4 linked regions of the Nothobranchius furzeri genome follow. The main gene of each other region encodes a partner of the protein of the gene in region 3 in a complex. Links are inferred from orthologs where the notes say so. Each region holds a gene or a part of one and is shown on either strand. Other genes may lie near its edges.

What was found. The genes of interacting proteins can lie anywhere in the genome.
Region 1: timm21 (region 3) and timm17b share a complex: the UniProt entries of both Homo sapiens proteins name them as parts of the TIM23 complex. The link is inferred for Nothobranchius furzeri from reciprocal best matches to the Homo sapiens genes TIMM21 and TIMM17B.
Region 2: timm21 (region 3) and timm17a share a complex: the UniProt entries of both Homo sapiens proteins name them as parts of the TIM23 complex. The link is inferred for Nothobranchius furzeri from reciprocal best matches to the Homo sapiens genes TIMM21 and TIMM17A.
Region 4: timm21 (region 3) and smim20 share a complex: the UniProt entries of both Homo sapiens proteins name them as parts of the MITRAC (mitochondrial translation regulation assembly intermediate of cytochrome c oxidase complex) complex. The link is inferred for Nothobranchius furzeri from reciprocal best matches to the Homo sapiens genes TIMM21 and SMIM20.

Annotation. Positions count from the first base shown.
Region 1 is NC_091755.1:41,959,822-41,964,531, reverse strand, and holds the start of timm17b (mitochondrial import inner membrane translocase subunit Tim17-B), read left to right. Parts: upstream 1-1,661; 5' UTR 1,662-1,719; coding exon 1,720-1,745; intron 1,746-2,170; exon of another isoform or gene 2,171-2,279; intron 2,280-2,734; coding exon 2,735-2,834; intron 2,835-2,904; coding exon 2,905-2,968; intron 2,969-3,065; coding exon 3,066-3,194; intron 3,195-3,267; coding exon 3,268-3,378; intron 3,379-3,563; coding exon 3,564-3,625; 3' UTR 3,626-4,710. Other genes in the region: pqbp1 (polyglutamine-binding protein 1), read right to left, coding at 1-56, 140-340, 439-539, 726-837, 931-997. UniProt on the Homo sapiens protein: Essential component of the TIM23 complex, a complex that mediates the translocation of transit peptide-containing proteins across the mitochondrial inner membrane.
Region 2 is NC_091743.1:60,935,063-60,940,062, forward strand, and holds the start of timm17a (mitochondrial import inner membrane translocase subunit Tim17-A), read right to left. Parts: upstream 3,050-5,000; 5' UTR 2,976-3,049; coding exon 2,950-2,975; intron 1,224-2,949; coding exon 1,124-1,223; intron 112-1,123; coding exon 48-111; intron 1-47. UniProt on the Homo sapiens protein: Essential component of the TIM23 complex, a complex that mediates the translocation of transit peptide-containing proteins across the mitochondrial inner membrane.
Region 3 is NC_091747.1:54,072,949-54,076,961, reverse strand, and holds timm21 (mitochondrial import inner membrane translocase subunit Tim21), read right to left. Parts: upstream 2,510-4,013; 5' UTR 2,321-2,509; coding exon 2,029-2,320; intron 1,907-2,028; coding exon 1,844-1,906; intron 1,738-1,843; coding exon 1,640-1,737; intron 1,556-1,639; coding exon 1,482-1,555; intron 1,404-1,481; coding exon 1,298-1,403; intron 1,173-1,297; coding exon 1,080-1,172; 3' UTR 1,017-1,079; downstream 1-1,016. UniProt on the Homo sapiens protein: Participates in the translocation of transit peptide-containing proteins across the mitochondrial inner membrane.
Region 4 is NC_091742.1:58,395,720-58,400,612, forward strand, and holds the start of smim20 (small integral membrane protein 20), read right to left. Parts: upstream 3,050-4,893; 5' UTR 2,957-3,049; coding exon 2,848-2,956; intron 2,595-2,847; coding exon 2,538-2,594; intron 1-2,537. Other genes in the region: man2b2 (epididymis-specific alpha-mannosidase), read left to right, coding at 3,513-3,653, 3,808-3,954, 4,621-4,726, 4,793-4,893.

The DNA.
Region 1 (4,710 bases), on a different chromosome or scaffold from region 3:
GGGAGCATCAGAATAAGCGCTGGGGTCCATGGGGTCCATCTCGTCATCCTTTCTTCCTGCAAACACGATCAGATTTTAACTGTTATTGTATCACAGATAAAGCTTTAACGTGAAAACGAAAGACTTCTGTAAGCATCACCTCTTTTGTTCTTGTTGTATGGTGCCATGTCGTCCCTCCTTTGCTTTCTTCTGTCTCTGTCCCGCCCATCATCTCTGTCCCTGTCTCTGTCCCGATCTCTTTCTCTTTCCCGGTCCCTATCCCTGTCTCTGTCCCTTTCCCGTTCTCTCTCTCTGTCTGGCTTCTCAAACGGTCGCTCTCCTCTTTCATCTCCCAAATCAGCTAAAAACAAATAATAATGCAATTTCTGTGAAAAACATTCCTCGTTTCTTTTTTAAAGACACTTATGCAAAACTGGCGAGTTTAGTTTTTAAACCCACCTTTCATTTTCTTGGCAGCTTTTGTTATCACAGACGAGGGGTCATTTGGGGACAGCCAGGCGACTAGATCCGTCTCAACATTCCAGTAGTAAGGAAGACCACTGAGGGTGGCAGGAAATCAGGAAGAGAAGGCTAATCAGCTTACATACTAAACATGTAAAAGAGACCCAATGACATCGCTTTGTGAATTCACTGGAAAGCTTCATCTGGACTGCAAACACCCAAACACAAGCGCACTGGAGGTAAAACTACCAAAGAACCGTAGATAACCAGTACAGTGTACGTACCAAGCTGGATCAAACACTTTGTACCAGTTTGGAGGAAGATTCTCTGCTCTGGTGGCTTCATAATCTACATTATTGTCATCATAATCTTCGGCAATAATCTCCTCATCTGCACCTGTTATTAAAGGAGAAAATACTGTTACACGACATACGTGTAAAGTCACAGAGAAGGATGCATGGAGCCAGCGTGTTCAAGCCAAATGAGAACCTCGTTCTGTTGGTTTAACGATCCCCCTCTTGGCCAAGCGGGCCAGCAGAGCTGGAGGAAGAGGCATCCTGAAAAACACGAGATGCTGTCACAACAGTCACCTCGAACATCTGTACATGAGGTCAGTGGTTTCATAAATCCACAGCAAAGATACAGAAAATTTACTTGTTTCTCATGTGTTCTGATATTTAAAGTATACAGCCTCAATTATACACAACGGGGTTTATCCCAATAAACAAAACGTCTCTTTACTGCCAAATTACGTACAAAAACGAGTTAATTTATAACAAATAAACATCTGAACAGAAACCTTTCAGATAAAACATTGTAATGAAATATGGAGAACATAAAGCTCCCAACAGCACACGCAGTAAAAGGCGTCGGGCTTTCAATACAATTTGAATAAATGCTGTTCTTACGTTTTCAGTTGAAGTTATGTTCAACATTTGAGTTGTGTTATTTTTAAAGACTTTAACTACAGATGTAGAAACAGTCTGACATTCGTAAAATCTGCATTTATTTGCACGAACAACAAACGTTTACCCGAAGGCTAACCCTGTTAGCAACCGCTGGATGATTAAATCAACAAGCAGACTGCGTAAGTACTTCCATGCCCGGAAGGAACGAAAATCTGAACGTTTACGCTTCAAAACGGGATCCGAACAGGAACAAGTTTACCTGAGATAAAGAAATTCACCCAATAGCAGAGAAAATGATGTTAGCACCGCCAACGCACTAGTAGCGCCGGTCGCACGTGTATGACGTCACAACGTCTAGACGAAAACAAACATGGAGGAATATGTCCGCGAACCTTGGTAAGATTAGTTTGTCTTTAACTGTAAACTAAATACGGCTAACATACATACCAGTGTTGGTTTTTCTAGTGAAACATAAACATGTGAGAGAACAGAGACGCGTTGTGAGTTCTGCTGTCAATCCACGTATATATACGTGCTTACGTTCAATGCAATTCAAAAATACTTTATTAATCCCAGAGGAAATTGATTGCTGTAGTAGCTCAGAATAATAATAATAAACAAGTCATCAAAGAGTTGTTGTATATTACAATGGCTGTTGGCAGGAAGGATCTCCAGTAGCGGTCAGTGTTGCAGCCAAACTGAAGAAGCCTCTGACTGAAGACACTCTTCCGTTGTCGGACAGTCTTGTGAAGAGAACGCTCAGGGTTGTCCATAATTTTCTTGATTCTCTGGAGAATCCTCCTTTGCATTTTCTCCTCCAGCGGTTCCGAAACTGCCGAAACTCTGGCTGAGTCCTTGAAAGGGCTTGGAGTTCCTCCATCTTGTTGGCCAGTGATCTCACATTGCCCGTTATGATCGATGGAAGAGACGGTTTGAATTTCCTCTTTCTCTGTCTCCGTTTTGCTCCCGCTCTGCACCCACGCTTCTTGCGTTTTAGCTCATTTGGGATTTGTGGCTTCAGTTGAGGTATTATTTCAGCCTTTCCAATGTTAATCAGCTGCTCCCGATTGTAAACCAGCTTGTTGCCATGGTTACGCATCATAACAAATGCTCAAAAAGTGTAAAAAGCTAAAAAATAGCAGTAAAAATCCTCCAAGCTTCACAGCACCAGAAACAGAAAAGTAGTGTCCAAAAAAATACCGTTTCTCTTGAGAAACTAGAAGAAAAAATGCCCAAGAAAAGGCAAAACTTACATATAGTCAACAGAGCTACTCCAACATGCAGCCACCCAGAGCAGCGCAGTTCCGTTGACGTCTGTATCCTGATCTGACTGTATATCTTGTATTTTGACGGTGTCTTGTGTGTCCTCCCCTAACCTCCTGCAGCCCCTGGAGGATTGTGGACGACTGTGGAGGAGCTTTCTCCATGGGTGTCATCGGTGGAGGGGTGTTCCAGGCCATCAAGGGCTTCCGAAATGCCCCTGCTGTGAGTTTAAAACAGACTAGTTTGACTTGACTTCTTGGAAGCCTTTATAAACCTGTCTGTAACATTTCAGGGTGTTGGACACAGACTAAGAGGAAGTGCAAAGGCAGTGAGAGTGAGGGCCCCACAGATTGGAGGTTTGACCCGTTGCTGCTCTGCTCCTCACACACCACTGAAGGATTTTGGTCCCTTTCTCTAAACTGAGCTTCAGCACTGACGTGCTTCTTCTACCAGGTAGCTTTGCCGTATGGGGAGGTCTCTTCTCTACGATTGACTGTGGCTTGGTTCGCCTGAGAGGGAAAGAAGACCCGTGGAACTCTATAACAAGTGGTGCGCTGACTGGAGCCATTCTAGCAGCACGCAGTGAGGATAACACTCAACAACCAAACACTAGACAGGAACTCAGTAACTCACCAAATGTTTTGGTTTGCCTCAGGTGGGCCGTTGACCATGATGGGCTCGGCCATGATGGGCGGGGTTTTACTCGCTCTCATAGAAGGTTTTGGCATTCTCCTAACCAGATACACAGCCCAGCAGTTTCAGAACCGTGAGTGCCTTTCCCGTCTCTGTAATATACACCAGGTGCTCAAACTGAACACCTGCAGACATCTTTAAACCACTTTTGGGTTTTAGTTAAGCCATCTGTCGTTTGAAACCGATAACCAGTAGGATACTTGCAGCACGTCCAAGAAAAGCCTGACAAGTTCACTTCTTTCTGCTTGTTGTCTCCAGCCGTTCCCTTTGCAGAGGACCCCAGTCAGCTTCCTCCGAAGGACGGAGGGCCCCCCCCATAGCCAGCAGCAGGGCCCAAAAGGGCTGTTCCAGTAGAGGGTTGAGTCCAGCTGTAGACCAGAGCAGCAATGCCCTTAGGACTTGGCTGTAGAACCTCAGGGTCAGTGTTTAAATGTTTACGTGCGAGAGTTGTCGCTGTCGTCTTTATGCTTAAATATCTAGTTTGAGTTTCACATAAATGCTTTCATTATTCATAATGATTTAAACACGTATGTTTAAAACATGGGGAGAACATGTTTGGTCTCTTCTGGAGTCCGCGTGGAAACACGAGCTCTCAGCGTAAAACCCTCCTGTCTCCACTGTCTGGATGAGCTGATGTCGCTGGCCCGAGACTGCTGGCAGCCACACAGGCGGAGCGTGAATGTGGACAGGGTCGTGTGGAGCTTATTTACCGCAGTGATGCTAATTTTCTTGTTGTCTTAATGTTCTTTGATTTGACTCCAGATTTATTAATGGACCCTTTGTAAAATGGTCTCATACTGCTGAATGGACGAAGGTTCCAGACATCAGCAGCAAGACGTCTGTTATTATTTTGGGACAAACGCTTGTTAGGACCTGTTCAGAATGGCAGCAACACGAGACAAGGACAATGAGAATCCTTGGAAATTCCCTCTTGATTTGAAAAGGCGCCCCCAGCAGTCACAGATAGCCCAGTGAGAGCCCAGATGCACGCTCATTCACAGCCGCGCTTGCATCACGTTTGAGGATCTCGCTAGAAGACTAGGTCTTTCCTGGAAGAGGTTTGCAGGAAGCTCAGCTCTTACTCGAGTTCCCACACGCTGGTCCTCCTGAACATCTCTGCAGCCTTTTAAAGCTGCAGTTTGTTTGTGAAACCTAGTAAAAGACCAGTGGCTGAAGCCAGCAGTCAACACGCTCCTCTCCAAGACCTGCATGGTGGGGAAACCATTTGCTTGTTTTGTTTCTTCTGTAGGAAAAGTCTTCAGAAAAAGCCTGTAAGCGTAACTCTTACTGATCAAACCACTCGTTTCCTCCGGAGCTGGTGTTGTAGAGTCCAGCAGGCTCAGAGGACACACGTAATCAGGTGCATTTGTGACATTTTGTTCTGTGTGCTCAGCGGATTTTACCC
Region 2 (5,000 bases), on a different chromosome or scaffold from region 3:
CACCCTAACCCATACATCCCTTGTTTCTGATCTTCTTTTTCTCTTACCTCCTAGTTGTGGGGCTCTGGTCTTGATGGCGGTTAAACTACCCCTCATCCTGTGACTCATCCCCTGGAAAAGGACGAAACATGGATCAGTGCTGAATGATTCTCAGCTCAGGAGTTGAAGTGATTTTCTCGATACAATTAAAAATCTAAAAACTACAATCAACTTTTCTGATTCAGATAAACACAGACCACAGCCCTCTAGTTGCATTTATGGGGCTGTGCATAAATCCAGAGGCTGCATCCTTTCAAGGCCACATTTTAAGGTTGATTATGCCACAGAAAAGTGACAAGGCCTTCCAAATATGAAGGAAACTCAAAATGTGTCCTTGTTTTCCCCAAATATCAAGGACAGACTAGTGGCTAGAAATCGGTGTCAGTCATCCGCCACAGAGAACGGCTGATCTAGCTCTAGGTAATTTGCTCAGTCTTCCGACGGTCACGCTCACACAGATGAGTGTTGGTGAGTGGCTGCAGTTGACTGTTGATGCTCCGTGTTTTTATTTCTGCAGGAAGCCAAACTCACCTCACACTGCCTGGAGTTTGTTCTTCAAAATTTTCATTAAATCCACTATGTTAACACATTTTTACGAGCTTCCTCCACGATGCATTTTTCACTGCAGGAATTAAAGTTTACATCACAGAGTAAAAGTTCTGCAGACAAGTTTGTTTACATTTTAGCCGCTGCGCACCTGCGCAGTGTGAGGCTAAGGAGGGGGGACGCAATGCTGCTCTCAGGGTCTCTGCGGGCTGCGAGTAGGACCGACAGATAGCTGGTATGATCGGCTCTGAAAGGCATTGATCAGAATTTGCATATCATGCTTTTTTCACGGAGATCGACAACAGATTCTTCTTCCGGTCAGCAGCCTTAAATCTGAACGATTCTGGAAAAAACTGACGGTTAGTCCCGGTTCCAATCGATGCCCAACCCAACAGACCGGGTAATCCAGGTCCTTACTAGGATACTATCCCTGGATTTGGACCCATCCAGCATCCTTGACCAAGCCATTAAATGTCAAGGCTAGTCTTCATGTGAGTGTGTAAAAGGGAACCCTGTAAAACACTGTTGGTTAACTTACTGAAGGTGCATTTCTGAAGCCTTTCACAGCCTGAAAAATTCCTCCACCAATAGCTCCCATGGTGAAAGCTCCACCACAGTCATCCACAATCCTCCAGGGGCTACAAGTAAAAAACAGAATTCAAAATTCTGATCTAAAAAAAGTCTCAAGAAAACTTTATTTTAGTGTTAAAATGCAACACAGTCATGGATGATGTTTGAAGTGTGTGCTTCCAAGCTGAAGTTCAAATAAACACACAGTCTTAATTGGAACTGTAGCATTTACTATACGGGACACACAGAACTATTGAGATTAAAACAAACTATGAAGCCTCAAGAAAAAAACTTTTTTGTGTCAATTTTATGGGGGGGAAAAAAGAGATGTAATTAGGGAAGAGTTTACTGAGATGAGCGATCCCTAGCCCTGCAGCCAGAACTGTAAATAGAGATAGGTGCAACAAATAGAAATGCTTAAAAGAGTTTGATTTATACCAAAGAGGAACAAAATGTGAATTATTAAACACAGCAAAAGGTCTGGTGACAGAGTACACAGACACTGATAACTATGTCTTTTAAACTGTTCTGTTTATGTGATGTTTGAATAATTCTGGTAACCACTCTTATGAAAACAGATGACAGAAATTGAGCGATAACCCCCTAAGTTTTTCTTCAACTCATTTATATTTAACATCCAAGAACCAATTTCATGCAGTTTTTCTAAAATAAAGTTTTCTGAAAAAATTTCATGTCTGATTCAGTCAGACTATTTTTTCAGTCAAGTCTTTGAACCTGGACTTGGTTTAGAATAACACCTGAAGAATGACGCAACTCTCATCACACAATTTGAAGACTGATGAAATTTTGAGCTCATTTCTTACACTTCATTTACTACACTTAGAAATGTTCAGCTTTACAAAAACTCTACAAATCTGCCATACCTGTCAAAGTATGTTTTTTGACATTTTTGTCTGAACAAAAATGAACAAATTACATGTGTTACAATACTAAGATCCCAGTTATTGAGAGAGATCATTGTATGAGTGGATTAACAAAGCAGCATCATAAACAGTTTTAAAACACTCAATAGCAGCAAACTAACAGCTGACATATAAAGCCAACTTCTTCTCACTGGAAATGATTAAAAGGCATTTTTCCCTGTCTTGGATTTCAAACATTAACCTAATTTAACCCTCAAAATGTCTTGCTATAAAACAGCATTTGTCAAATTTTAAATGATCTCTTGTTAAACCTGTTTTTATAAAGATGACCCAGCTAGACAACTAAGGTGTTCCAGTGTTAGGCATATTTAATATAACTCAATAGGAGTATCTCAGAACGTTTGATATGTATATGTCTGATCATACGATTTTGTCTTAAATTACAAGTTGTGTAATATCCGGATGGTTAGCACACTGGTGGCTAACTGAGCTAACAGCTACATCAACAATGTCTAATAGCCTAACAATATCTGAAGACGATAACTTTTATAAATGCTGTTAGTGATTAATATAAACTGTGACACTTATAATTCACAAAGCGTAACTTCAGTTCCTGAATTTACTTTGATGACATGTGGACGAGAAAAACGGCAAGGTCACCAACAACGTGATTTAGCCTTTCCGTTCTGATGCTAGCACAAAAGCCCATTAAACTCAAGGAGAAATTAGCATTTGAGCTAAATTGGCCAGCCGGTATTTTTTTTTCCAGGTGTATCGGGATGTGCCACAAGCTTTAACAATAAATATAAAGATGAAAACTAAATGCAATGCTCATTTTAAATTAGATAAAATTGGCTAATTTTATTAAAACAACGTAAACTGTAACATTTATCGTTATTTTGAAACTTACCACGGCTCTCTGGCATATTCCTCCATTTTGTTCTTTAGCTGTTACCACTGACGTAACGTAACGTCACTTCTTCCTTAAAAAAGAAAAACTTTATTGAAAAAAAATGAACAATGACAAATTTTCAACACAGGACTTTAATCACGCTCCTTCAAGACACTAAATTAAAAGAGAAGCAAAACCTTGTAGTGACATATATATTAAAACACATAAGGGCGAAAATAAAAAGAGGTACAAAGTACAAATGAAACAAACATGGAATACCAAACCAGTAGAAAAACAAATACTAAATAGAAGGAAATCGATAAAAATTAAGTTGTCCTATGAATGTGTAAAGCCTAATTGCAAGAGAATTAGTTTCAAACATTTTTGTAAAACGGAAGATAATTTTTAAACGCCATTGGGTGAGACTAGGCATATGTACATGTATGTAGGTCTATATACTAATAATACTTTGTAAAGATAAGATTGTTTATAAAAACAATGCAGTTTTTCTCTTTTAGGATTATACCAAACGGAACAAAGATTCACGGAAAGATTTCTGACAGTGTCACATTCATGCTCCATGTTCATGCTCTGTTTTCTCCAATGTTGTTTTATAGATGTAACAATTTTCATATGACCCCCTCTCTCTCTCTCTCTCTCTCTCTCTCTCTCTCTATATATATATATATATATATATATATATATATATATATATATATATATATATATATATACACACACACACACACACACACACACATATGTGTGTGTGTAAAGTACAGGCTAAAAGATTGGATACAACTTCTCATTCAATATGTTTTCTTTATTTTTCATGACCATTTACTGTACGTTGGTAGACTCTCACTGAAGGCATCAAAACTACAAATGAACACATGTGGAGTTATGTACTTAACTAAAAAAGATTAAATAACTGAAAAAATGTTTTATATGCTATTTTCCTCAGAAAAGCCACCCTTTTTACTACATAATATTTTATAGCCATACTATGTTAGAAGATTGTAAAAAGGGATGAAAAAATGTTTTAAGCTAATTTGTTTTCCAAGTTTCTTAAAGCAGCTTTAATACCTTCAAGTTTTCCTGATTTGACAGGGTAAAGCTGTGGAAAAAAATCCACTTTGTTCTTTGTTTCATAAAAAATGGTTAAATGAATGTTCCAGGCATTTAAAAAAACTGTAATACAAACTTCTTATAAACCGCAAGTTGGTACTATTAAAGTTCTTTTCTGCTTTTAAACGTTGACATAATTTTTCTGCAAGCCCGTGTGTTAGTGTTAAAGCATTTAACGGAATGTTTTCATTCCCTCTCCTGTTTTTCTCCATCAGAGACTGACGCTGCTGGTCAGAGGAGCAGCTACAGCCAAGAGACAGACAGCTGGCATGCAGCCCATTATTAGAAAGGGGGAAAGGAATGACTTGCAAAGCAAACTCTCATTGAGAAATGACCAAATATGGAAGCAGAGGCTGAAGCAGGGTTTGGAGAGATAAACAGTTGCTGGTAATGCTCATGCTCCCCTTTTCCATGTCTGAGTATGCTCAGATGATGGTTACCTTTTCAGCCAGAGTTGCCATGCAGCTTCACATGAACAGCATCAAGTAGAACACATGAAAGAAAATCTCCACTTTAAAAATTGAAAAGTTGAGTTTATGGAACAATTCTGCACTCTGTGTGAATAAGGAGTAAGGCCATGTTTACACAAACAATGTGTGTGGTTCATTTTCGTATGGCTTCCAGGTGGACTGCCATTCACACTGACTGCACATCATGTTTGGAACATCTCCATTCAATTCAATTCAATTCAATTCAATTCAATTCAATTCAAGTTTATTTGTATAGCGCCAAATCACGACAAGAGTCGTCTCAAGGTACTTCACATAATAAACATTCCAATTCAGGACAGTTCATTAAGCCAATCTGAAATAATTTTTCCTATATAAGGAACCCAGCAAATTGCATCAAGTCACTTACTAGTGTCAGTGACTATACAGCAATCCTCATACTAAGCAAGCATAAAGCGACAGTGGAGAGGAAAACTCCCAACTCTCCATAAA
Region 3 (4,013 bases):
GACAAGAACACAGCAAAAAGAACTGGAGACACCTGAGTCCAATAAGACCAGCTCAGTCCCAGTTTTAGTGGACATTTCCTAAGAAGTCAAAATTCAAAAACATGTATTTAGGTTAATGCCAGGGATTATATGAGTTTATCCACTATAATCAATATTTTGTAAGACTGTCTCCATCTAGTGGTCACTAGTGAAACATTCAGCCCATCAAAAAAACTTTCAAACATACTCAGGACGTTGTGGATTGGTGGGCAGAATACTTCAAAGACCTCCTCAATCCCACCGATACGTCTTCCAGTGAGAATGCAGAGTCTGGGGACTTTGGGTTGGCCTCTCAACTCTGGTGCTGAGGTCACTGAGGTGGTTAAAAAGCTCCTCTGTGGCAAGGCTCCAGGGGTGGATGAGATCCGCCCGGAGTTCCTTAAGGCTCTGGATGTTGTGGGGCTGTGTTGGCTGAGGCAGCTCTGCCAAAGCTTGGTCATTCGGGAGGGGCTCGAAGTAGACCCGCTGCTCCTCCACATCGAGAGGAGCCAGTTGAGGTGGCTCGGGTATCTGGTCAGGATGCCTCCTGGACGCCTCCCTGGTGAGGTTTTCCGGGCACGTACAACCGGGAGGAGACCTAAAGGTAGACCCAGGACACGGTGGAGTGACTATGTCTCTCACCTGGCCAGGGAACGCCTTGGGATTCCCCCGGAGGAGCTGGCCAAAGTGGTTGGGGAGAGGGAAGTCTGGGCCTCTCGCCTTAGGCTACTGCCCCCGCGACCCGACTCCGGATAAGCGGATGAAAATGGATGGATGGATCTATTTTTTGAAAGTAGATAAATGTTGCAAAAAGAAATGCCCAAAATTTTTAATTTAGTCAAGCAGAAGAGTCCGCGTTTATTTAAAAAGAAAGCCCCCCTGAAGGACACTTTAGGACAGATCAGCAATAAAGAGGGGTCAAAAGGTCTAAAGCAGGGACACAAACTGGACTTTGTTGAGTCATTTAACACATTAGTTTCAAATTAAAAAGGACAAGATTGTAATCCAGTGACCAGTGCCTTGTTTATTTAAATAATGCAGATTGTGAACAGCAGGGGTTCTCATCTGTTGTCCTCTATGATGATGCTCCGTTTGGGGTAGGTATCTAGATCCACGAATATATAACGAAATTCATATTTCCCCGTTTCTGGGTTCTGAAGTAAGAAACCAAAGACAACAAATCAAAAGACAATGGATGCAGTTTTCCTCTCAGCTCTTAGTATTTGATACCAGCTATTATAAAATGGATATTGTGTGAGCAGATCAGAAACCTACACACCTCCTTCGACTCTGAATGAACAGTTCCTTTCAGGCCTGGCTCGGAGCCTTCAATGTAAAACTTCAGTCTCAAGTGCTTCAGTCCATCCTTCAGATACTCCAGATGACTGAGGCGAAAACAAAAACAGATTAAAAAACAGCATAATCCCAAATAAACACAGTTTTATGCCTAGTTTAGTTTGTACCTGAGATGCTGCCTCCTTCCTCTGCGGGTGGTCTCACCGTAGCACTTGATTGGCTCGCCAAATGCCCCGATTACCTGCACTTTCAAATCAAAAACAGCACCGTGCATGTAACTTTATACTGAAAAGAGCCAAAAGAGTAAATCATTTGTCATTCTCACCTCTGGGTGTGACCTGACTTTATCAAAAGCTTTTGCGTAGACTTTATTTGGGCTTTTGGACGAAAACAGCTCCTGGAAAACCACATACAGCAGTCCACCTAAACACAAACGCACACATTTTTATTTATTTTGACAGCAGCGGGTAAGATCAAATTAAATATGCTGCTAATCACACGTTTGTTTCTGCAGTCTGGCTACTCTCACCTGTCACTCCCAGTCCGATGATCACAACTATCAGGTAGGTGAAGTCTTTACCAGCTTCTTTTACTGGAAGACACCCACAATGAGACTTTAGTAAACAACAGCATGCAGTAATTGGCATAAACTAACCCTAACCTACAGCATTTTGTACCGTGCTGCATAGCAACATAGCGTTAGCATTAGCTTACTCTTCTGGGAAGCTGAAGCTTTGGGGCTTGCGCGCTGATACCTGGACACCGCCGCTTTGTTCTCGTCCTCTGGCCTGCTCCTGTTTCTGGCTGAACAGTGGAGCGGTCTCACAGCCACACGGAGACAACTCAGCGCAGACAGAGGACTATCTGTCCCGAGAAGGACCAGTCCTGGTGTTGTGGACAAAGTCCTGCGCGCGTGAGCTAACAGTCGCAACTGACATGTTTGCGCTGCCGCTGTGTGTTGCAGACTTCGGTGTAACAAGGCTTTTAAAGGGTGAAGATACGCCATTATTGTCAATAAACCCACATTGAGGTGAACGGCAGTACAAACTACAGCGGCTGGCCTACTATAGTGTATAATTATGTCACCGTGACGTTTAATTATAGAACATTAATCGGCTAATGTCACACAAACAAAGCTGGTTTAGGTCGCACCAATATGGCGTAGCTTCTTCTTTGTTGTCTTTATTAGGAGTAAACAAATCAGCTTGGACTACCTCCACCTACCGGACAAAAACGAAACAACAAGCTTGCAATACCAGGAACATTTCCCCCCATTTGTTATGGTGGCTCTTGTGTAAATCCTTGTGAGTCGTTTTCTGTGAAGAAAAAAGTAAAACATTTGCTCTTCTGTTTCAGTAAGTAGAAGTTAGATGGAGCAGAGATCTGAAATGTTCAGCTAGCTGCTAATATTTCCTGCTTTAGCTCATTGATTCCATCTGGTTAAACACAGATACATTAGATATATTTATTGAGTTTTAGTAGTTAAGTAGTTTGAATAAGAGAAGATGTTCTGGCTTTCTCATTATCTGGACTAAACTATGCTATGTTTTATTTTGAAAGAACATACAGGAAGTAATAATGAGTATGGTCTTGTTTAGCTTTATTAACATTGACTGTAGTAACAGTTTTTGTCTTCCAGAGGACGGAAATATCCTTAATCTTAAAAGCCATAGACTGAAGGACTGAGTTCGATCTACATGATGCAGGAAACGTTCACATCCTGGTACTTCTGAGAAGAATTTACAGGAAGTGTACTAATTATTGTAACTTTACAAGTGCAGTTCCCCATTCTCCTCTTCCCTTTCCTCATTTAATCAATACATTTGCAGTAGTCTCTAGTAGGAATAAACATCTCGTGTGTCATACTCTGGGGAAAGAAAACACCGGCGCACCATTTTCAGGAACTAGAAGTGAGCCACATCAGAGCTGAGCTTCAAACGGCGGCTTTTCCGGAACTGCGCTGCTCTGGGTGGCTGCATGTTGGAGTAGCTCTGTTGACTATATGTAAGTTTTGTCTTTTCTTGGGCATTTTTTCTTATAGTTTCTCAAGAAAAACTGTATTTTTTGGACACTTTACTTTTCTGTTTCTGGTGCTGTGAAGCTTGGAGGATTTTTACTGCTATTTCTTTTAGCTTTTTTCACTTTTTGAGCATTTGTTATGATGCATAACCATGGCAACAAGCTGGTTTACAATCGATAGCAGCTGATTAACATTGGAAAGGCTGAAATAATACCTCAACTGAAGCCACAAATCCCAAATGAGCTAAAACGCAAGAAGCGTGGGTGCAGAGCGGGAGCAAAACGGAGATGGAGAAAGAGGAAATTCAAACCATCTCTTCCATCGATCATAATGGGCAATGTGAGATCACTGGCCAACAAGATGGAGGAACTCCAAGCCCTTTCAAGGACTCAGCCAGAGTGTCGGCAGTTTCGGAACCACTGGAGGAGATAATGTAAAGAAGGATTCTCCAGAGAATCAAGAAACTTAAGGACAACCCTGAGCATTCTCTTCACAAGACTGTCCGACAACAGAAGAGTGTCTTCAGTCAGAGGCTTCTTCAGTTTCAATTCAATTCAAAAATACTTTATTAATCCCAGAGGGAAATTGATTGCTGTAGTAGCTCAGAATAATAATAATAATAATCAAGTCATCAAAGAGTTATTGTATATTACAATGGCTGTTGGCAGGAAGGATCTCC
Region 4 (4,893 bases), on a different chromosome or scaffold from region 3:
TACAGCTCCCCCATAATTCGATCCCTGCTCCTGGATGAAAAGCCGGACATTTTCATCAATACAAGAACCCGCAGTCCGGACGCGCCGGACAGAGAGTGAAAAGTGGACACGGCCGGGGAAAACGGAACGTACGGTCACCATAGTCCTCATAAAGCGGGAAATTATAGATACAGTATTGTGCTCGTGCCCTGGGCCCTTTAGAGTTCGTGGGCCCTGGGCAATTGCCCAGTTAATCCGGCCTTGGGCGGAACCGGTTCGCAGCAGTGCGAGTCCCCCCGCTCATCTAATAAGCGTCGCGCTCACGACTTTAGACTCTTTTTTTACGAATTTAGGGCATGTCTAGCCTGTGTAATAATCCGGGACTTGGATGAATCACTTTTGAAAAGTTTTTAATTTACCCGGACACAGAGTTCTCTCCTTCCTCGCTGATGATCCCGACATGCTTGCGTTTAAGACGCTGCATCATCCCGTGCATCCCAGTCTGACCTAAACGTTGCAGGTAACGCATGTCTTCGCCTGATTTAACTGAAAATGCTCCCAAACTTAAAAAGCTTTTACTTTTTTGACTCTCGCTGCTTCTGTCATGTTCCTCTTCCAAACAACTGCCGGCTCTCTCTCGCGCTGATCTGTCTGCGCGCAACGGTGGGCGGGAAGGGGGGGCGCTTTTGGAAGAGTTGTGCGACACAACGAATCGATGACGCAATTCGTTGCCAACGCTTTTAGTAATCGATTTTCATCGAATTCATCGATTCGTTGTTGCAGCCCTACTTTATTATATCAAGGAACTGCTCTGGAGTGGCTCTTATCTCTCTGAGCGCTCCTTCTCTGTGGCCGTCTCCAAGTTTAGGTCCTCCACCACCTCTCTTACCCATGGTGTCCCACAAGGTTCTGTGCTGGGGCCTCTGCTCTTCCTCTTCTATCTGCTTCCTCTTCAGCACATCCTGAGCTCCTTCAAAGGAATCTCCTACCATCTTTATGCAGATGACATCCAGCTGTACATCTCCTTTAAGCCCCATGAGATGTCTAAGCTGCAGATGTTACACACCTACTTAGACTCTATCAAAACCTGGATGGCTGGGAGCTTTCTACAGCTGAATGAAGATAAGACTGATATCCTCATCTGTGCCCCAGACAAGCTGGTTCCCAAAGTCAGAGACTCTCTTGGTCAGCTTGCTTCCCACACCAAACCTTCCGTCAGGAATCTTGGCGTGACCTTTGACCCAGCTCTCACCCTGGATTCTCATGTCAGTTCTCTTGTTCGCTCTTCCTTCTTCCATCTCAGGCACGTTGCTAAGCTGAGTCCCATTCTGTCCCACTCTGAACTTGAGATCGTTACCCCCACCTTCATCTCCTCACGCTTAGACTACTGTAACTCTCTTTTCACGTGTCTGAGCAGAACCTCCCTGAACCGTCTACAGGTGGTTCAGAATGCCTGTGCTCGGCTTCTGACCAAGTCCTCCAAACACACCCACATCACCCCGCTTCTCCTCCAGCTTCACTGGCTGCCAGTCAACTTCAGGGTTCATTTCAAGATCCTGGTTCAGGTCTACAGGGCCTTACATGAACAAGCACCATCTTACATTGGTGATCTTCTTAGTCCCTACACCCCCAGCAGGTCCCTGAGGCCAGTGATCAAAGCCTACTGGTTGTGCAGCACCAGGCTAAAGACCAAAGGTGACAGATCATCTGCTGCTGTGGCCCCCCAGACTCTGGAACTCTCTCCCCCTGAGCCTGAGATCAGTGGACTCAGTGGTCTCCTTCAAAAAGCAGCTGAAGAATCAGCTGTTCAAAGTGGCTTTTGCATGACCTTCTTCACCACTCTCTCTTTATTCTGCTCTCCCCACCTATTCCACTTTCCTCAGGATCCACTGATTTCCCTCTTTCCTATTCACTCTCTCTCTTTACATTTTCTAATCACAATTGTCTATTATTTTTTTGCTAATTTTAAATATATTTTAACAATTTTCTAAATTCTTTTTGATATTTTTACATTTTTTGTTTATGTGAAGCACCTCATGATTTTTATCTTCAGAGGCACTATAGAAATTATATTTTCTTCTTCTTCCTCTTATATTGCAGTTTTTGTGGAAAACAATACATTCATTTTTTTCTCATTGTACACACAGAACCCCTTATTGACAGAAAAACAGAGTTTATGAATGCAGTTTTATGAAAGACTAACTGAAGGGCAGAACGAGCTCTACAAAAAAGAAGTTGAACTTCTTACAGTCCTAGAAAATGCCTTGGACCCACGGATAAGTGAGATAAATAAAAATAATAATTAAAATTTAAGATAATGAGCTTTAAGGGTACATTTTAATAAATTGATTTTGTTAGTTGAAAAAAGCTGAAAGTGATTTAAGGGTTGGAATTTAATTAAATGGGAGATAAATCTACTTTTTGTATCAAAACACTGAATATACAGATAAATAACAGAAAGTAATGGCGGCAACAGCTGGGTAGAGTCTGAGGGAATGGAGTGACCCAGATAACAGCCGATCACTATTGCTGATTTTTGTTTTATTATTAGTTCTTACCAACTGGCTGCACATCTGCCTGGTTAATTCCTGCCCGGTTTACCTTTTGGACTTCTCCTGGCAAAATCACAGAAACACAGAACACAAGATTAATATTAAAACATATTTGTTGGTTAAGATTTTTATTTTATTTTTGCTGGTTTGATTTCTTCACTACGGGATTAAAAACTCTGTCATAGAAAGTCAGTGGTAAACAAGCTAAAGTTAGCTAGCGTTTCAATCGTGTCAAACAACATTTAGCATTGCTGGATTTCAAGTTAAAACACAATATGAAGCAGTTGAGTGCTCGTGTTGGAAAATAAGCACTTACTGTAATCGTCTTTGTGTGTTAGAGGATAAAAAAATATGGGGTAAAACGCAGCGGCCACCGCCGTAACGAAGCCTCCGAATATTAACACTATTTTAGCGTTTTTGGACATTTTCTTACATCAGAGGCGGTCTCTCACCTCCAAGCGTGTTTACTTGCGTTTACAGCGACAGCTTCCGGCCATTACGTCATGATATGTTCTACATAGAAATGTGTCCGCTGAAAATGTTCCCAAACTAGACATCAAAATATTTTCCGTCTTGCTAACTTTTACACATTTTAGCTTCAAAGAACAAAATTGTCTTTGACAATATGAGATAAGTTCATTTATTTGATATGTGTGAGCTTATTATCCAACTGAACACTGAGATTTTTTTGTTTTATTTCAGTTTGCTACTTGCTAAAATTTGTTTAAAAATAACTTATGAAGATTTTTCCTTATAGCAGTTTTTTAAAATTATTTTGAACTATATAAGTGTGAAATAGCATGGGCATGATTTAAACACAATAGGGGGCGCATTTGAATGTAACACCAGTGTTGAACGTCACTCGCGTCACTTCTTTTGGGCTACCAGGGCTTCCGTATGAAATGCCAGTCATTCTAAACAACAACATGATAAGGAAGTGAAGCTGGTGGATTTTGTCGAACGAATTTTCTCATTTTCAGGATGGAAAAAAATATGTTTTTTACAGTTTTTGTGTGTTTTTGTTTATTTTGTTCACATGAATCGACAGCTGAGGATCAGCCCATTCAAACGTTTGTCATTCCTCACAGTCACATGGATGTTGGCTGGGTTTACACCATTCAGGTAGTGGAGGGTGATCTTGAATTCCAAATGAATATGTGTGTTTTCCCCTCTAAACGTGCGTGCGTGCGTGCGTGTGTGTATGTGTGTGTGTGTGTGTGTGTGTGTGTGTGTGTGTGTGTGTGTGTGTGTGTGTGTGTGTGTGTGTGTTTTGCAGGAGAGCATGCATGCCTATGCAGCTAACGTGTACACCAGTGTGACCCAGGAGCTGTCAAAGTACAAAGATCGAAGGTTCATCGCTGTGGAACAGGAGTTCTTTCGCCTGTGGTGGGACACTGTCGCCTCAGACTCCCTAAAGAAACAAGTAAGAACTCAGTTCTTTAGTCAGATGATTGTGTCTGCATTCATCAATGAAAATATCAGCTGAAATTTTCATTCTTGGGGGCTTAGTTACCAGGAAAGACACACATTATGATCCCATTTTAGTTTTCTTGAATCAAAAACACCAAAATAAGACAATCTTTATTTATGGGTACATACATTTGCCCCTGTTTGCTTTAACTAGTGGGGGCGTGAGCCGTGGGGAGGTGCAGTTTAGTGGTACTACATTGTTTGTTTTTAAATAATTCATGCACTTTTATCCTCTGCGGAGCACTTATCTTTATGTTTGGGTTACTTTTCAACACTTTCAGTTCCAGTAAAGGTTAGGACAGAACTATGTGGTGGTCGCGCCCTTTTTTCATTCCAAGAATGTAAGGAAGTTGGAAATTCAACATTCCATGTTGTGACTGGTTGCATCATCCATATGCAACAGGAATGCTGCTCTGATGACCAGCAGCTCTTGTCGTTTGCCTCTAAAACTGTTAAAAAAGAAGCCGGAGTTCTGTATCTCAGGTATTTTTATCCAAACATCTCGTAGACATTTTAAATAAACCTTAAACTTATGTCTGAATGAAAACCGGGATGCAACACATCTAGTTCTTTATCCCGCGAAAGCTCAGCTGACCTTTGTGTGTCGATGTCCTTCCAGGTTCGACAGCTTGTGACAGAAGGTCGACTTGAGTTCATCATCGGAGGCCAAGTGATGCATGACGAGGCCGTGACGGATCTGGACGATCAGATCTTGCAGATGACGGGTAAATCCAGGACCTCTTTCTAACCTTCAGGTTTGTTTCTGAGACTTAAGGTCACCGTTGTTTCAGAGGGCCACGGGTTCCTGTACCAGACGTTCGGGGTTCGCCCTCGTTTCTCCTGGCATGTGGATCCATTTGGAGCCTCCGCCACCACGCCGGTCCTGTTCGCT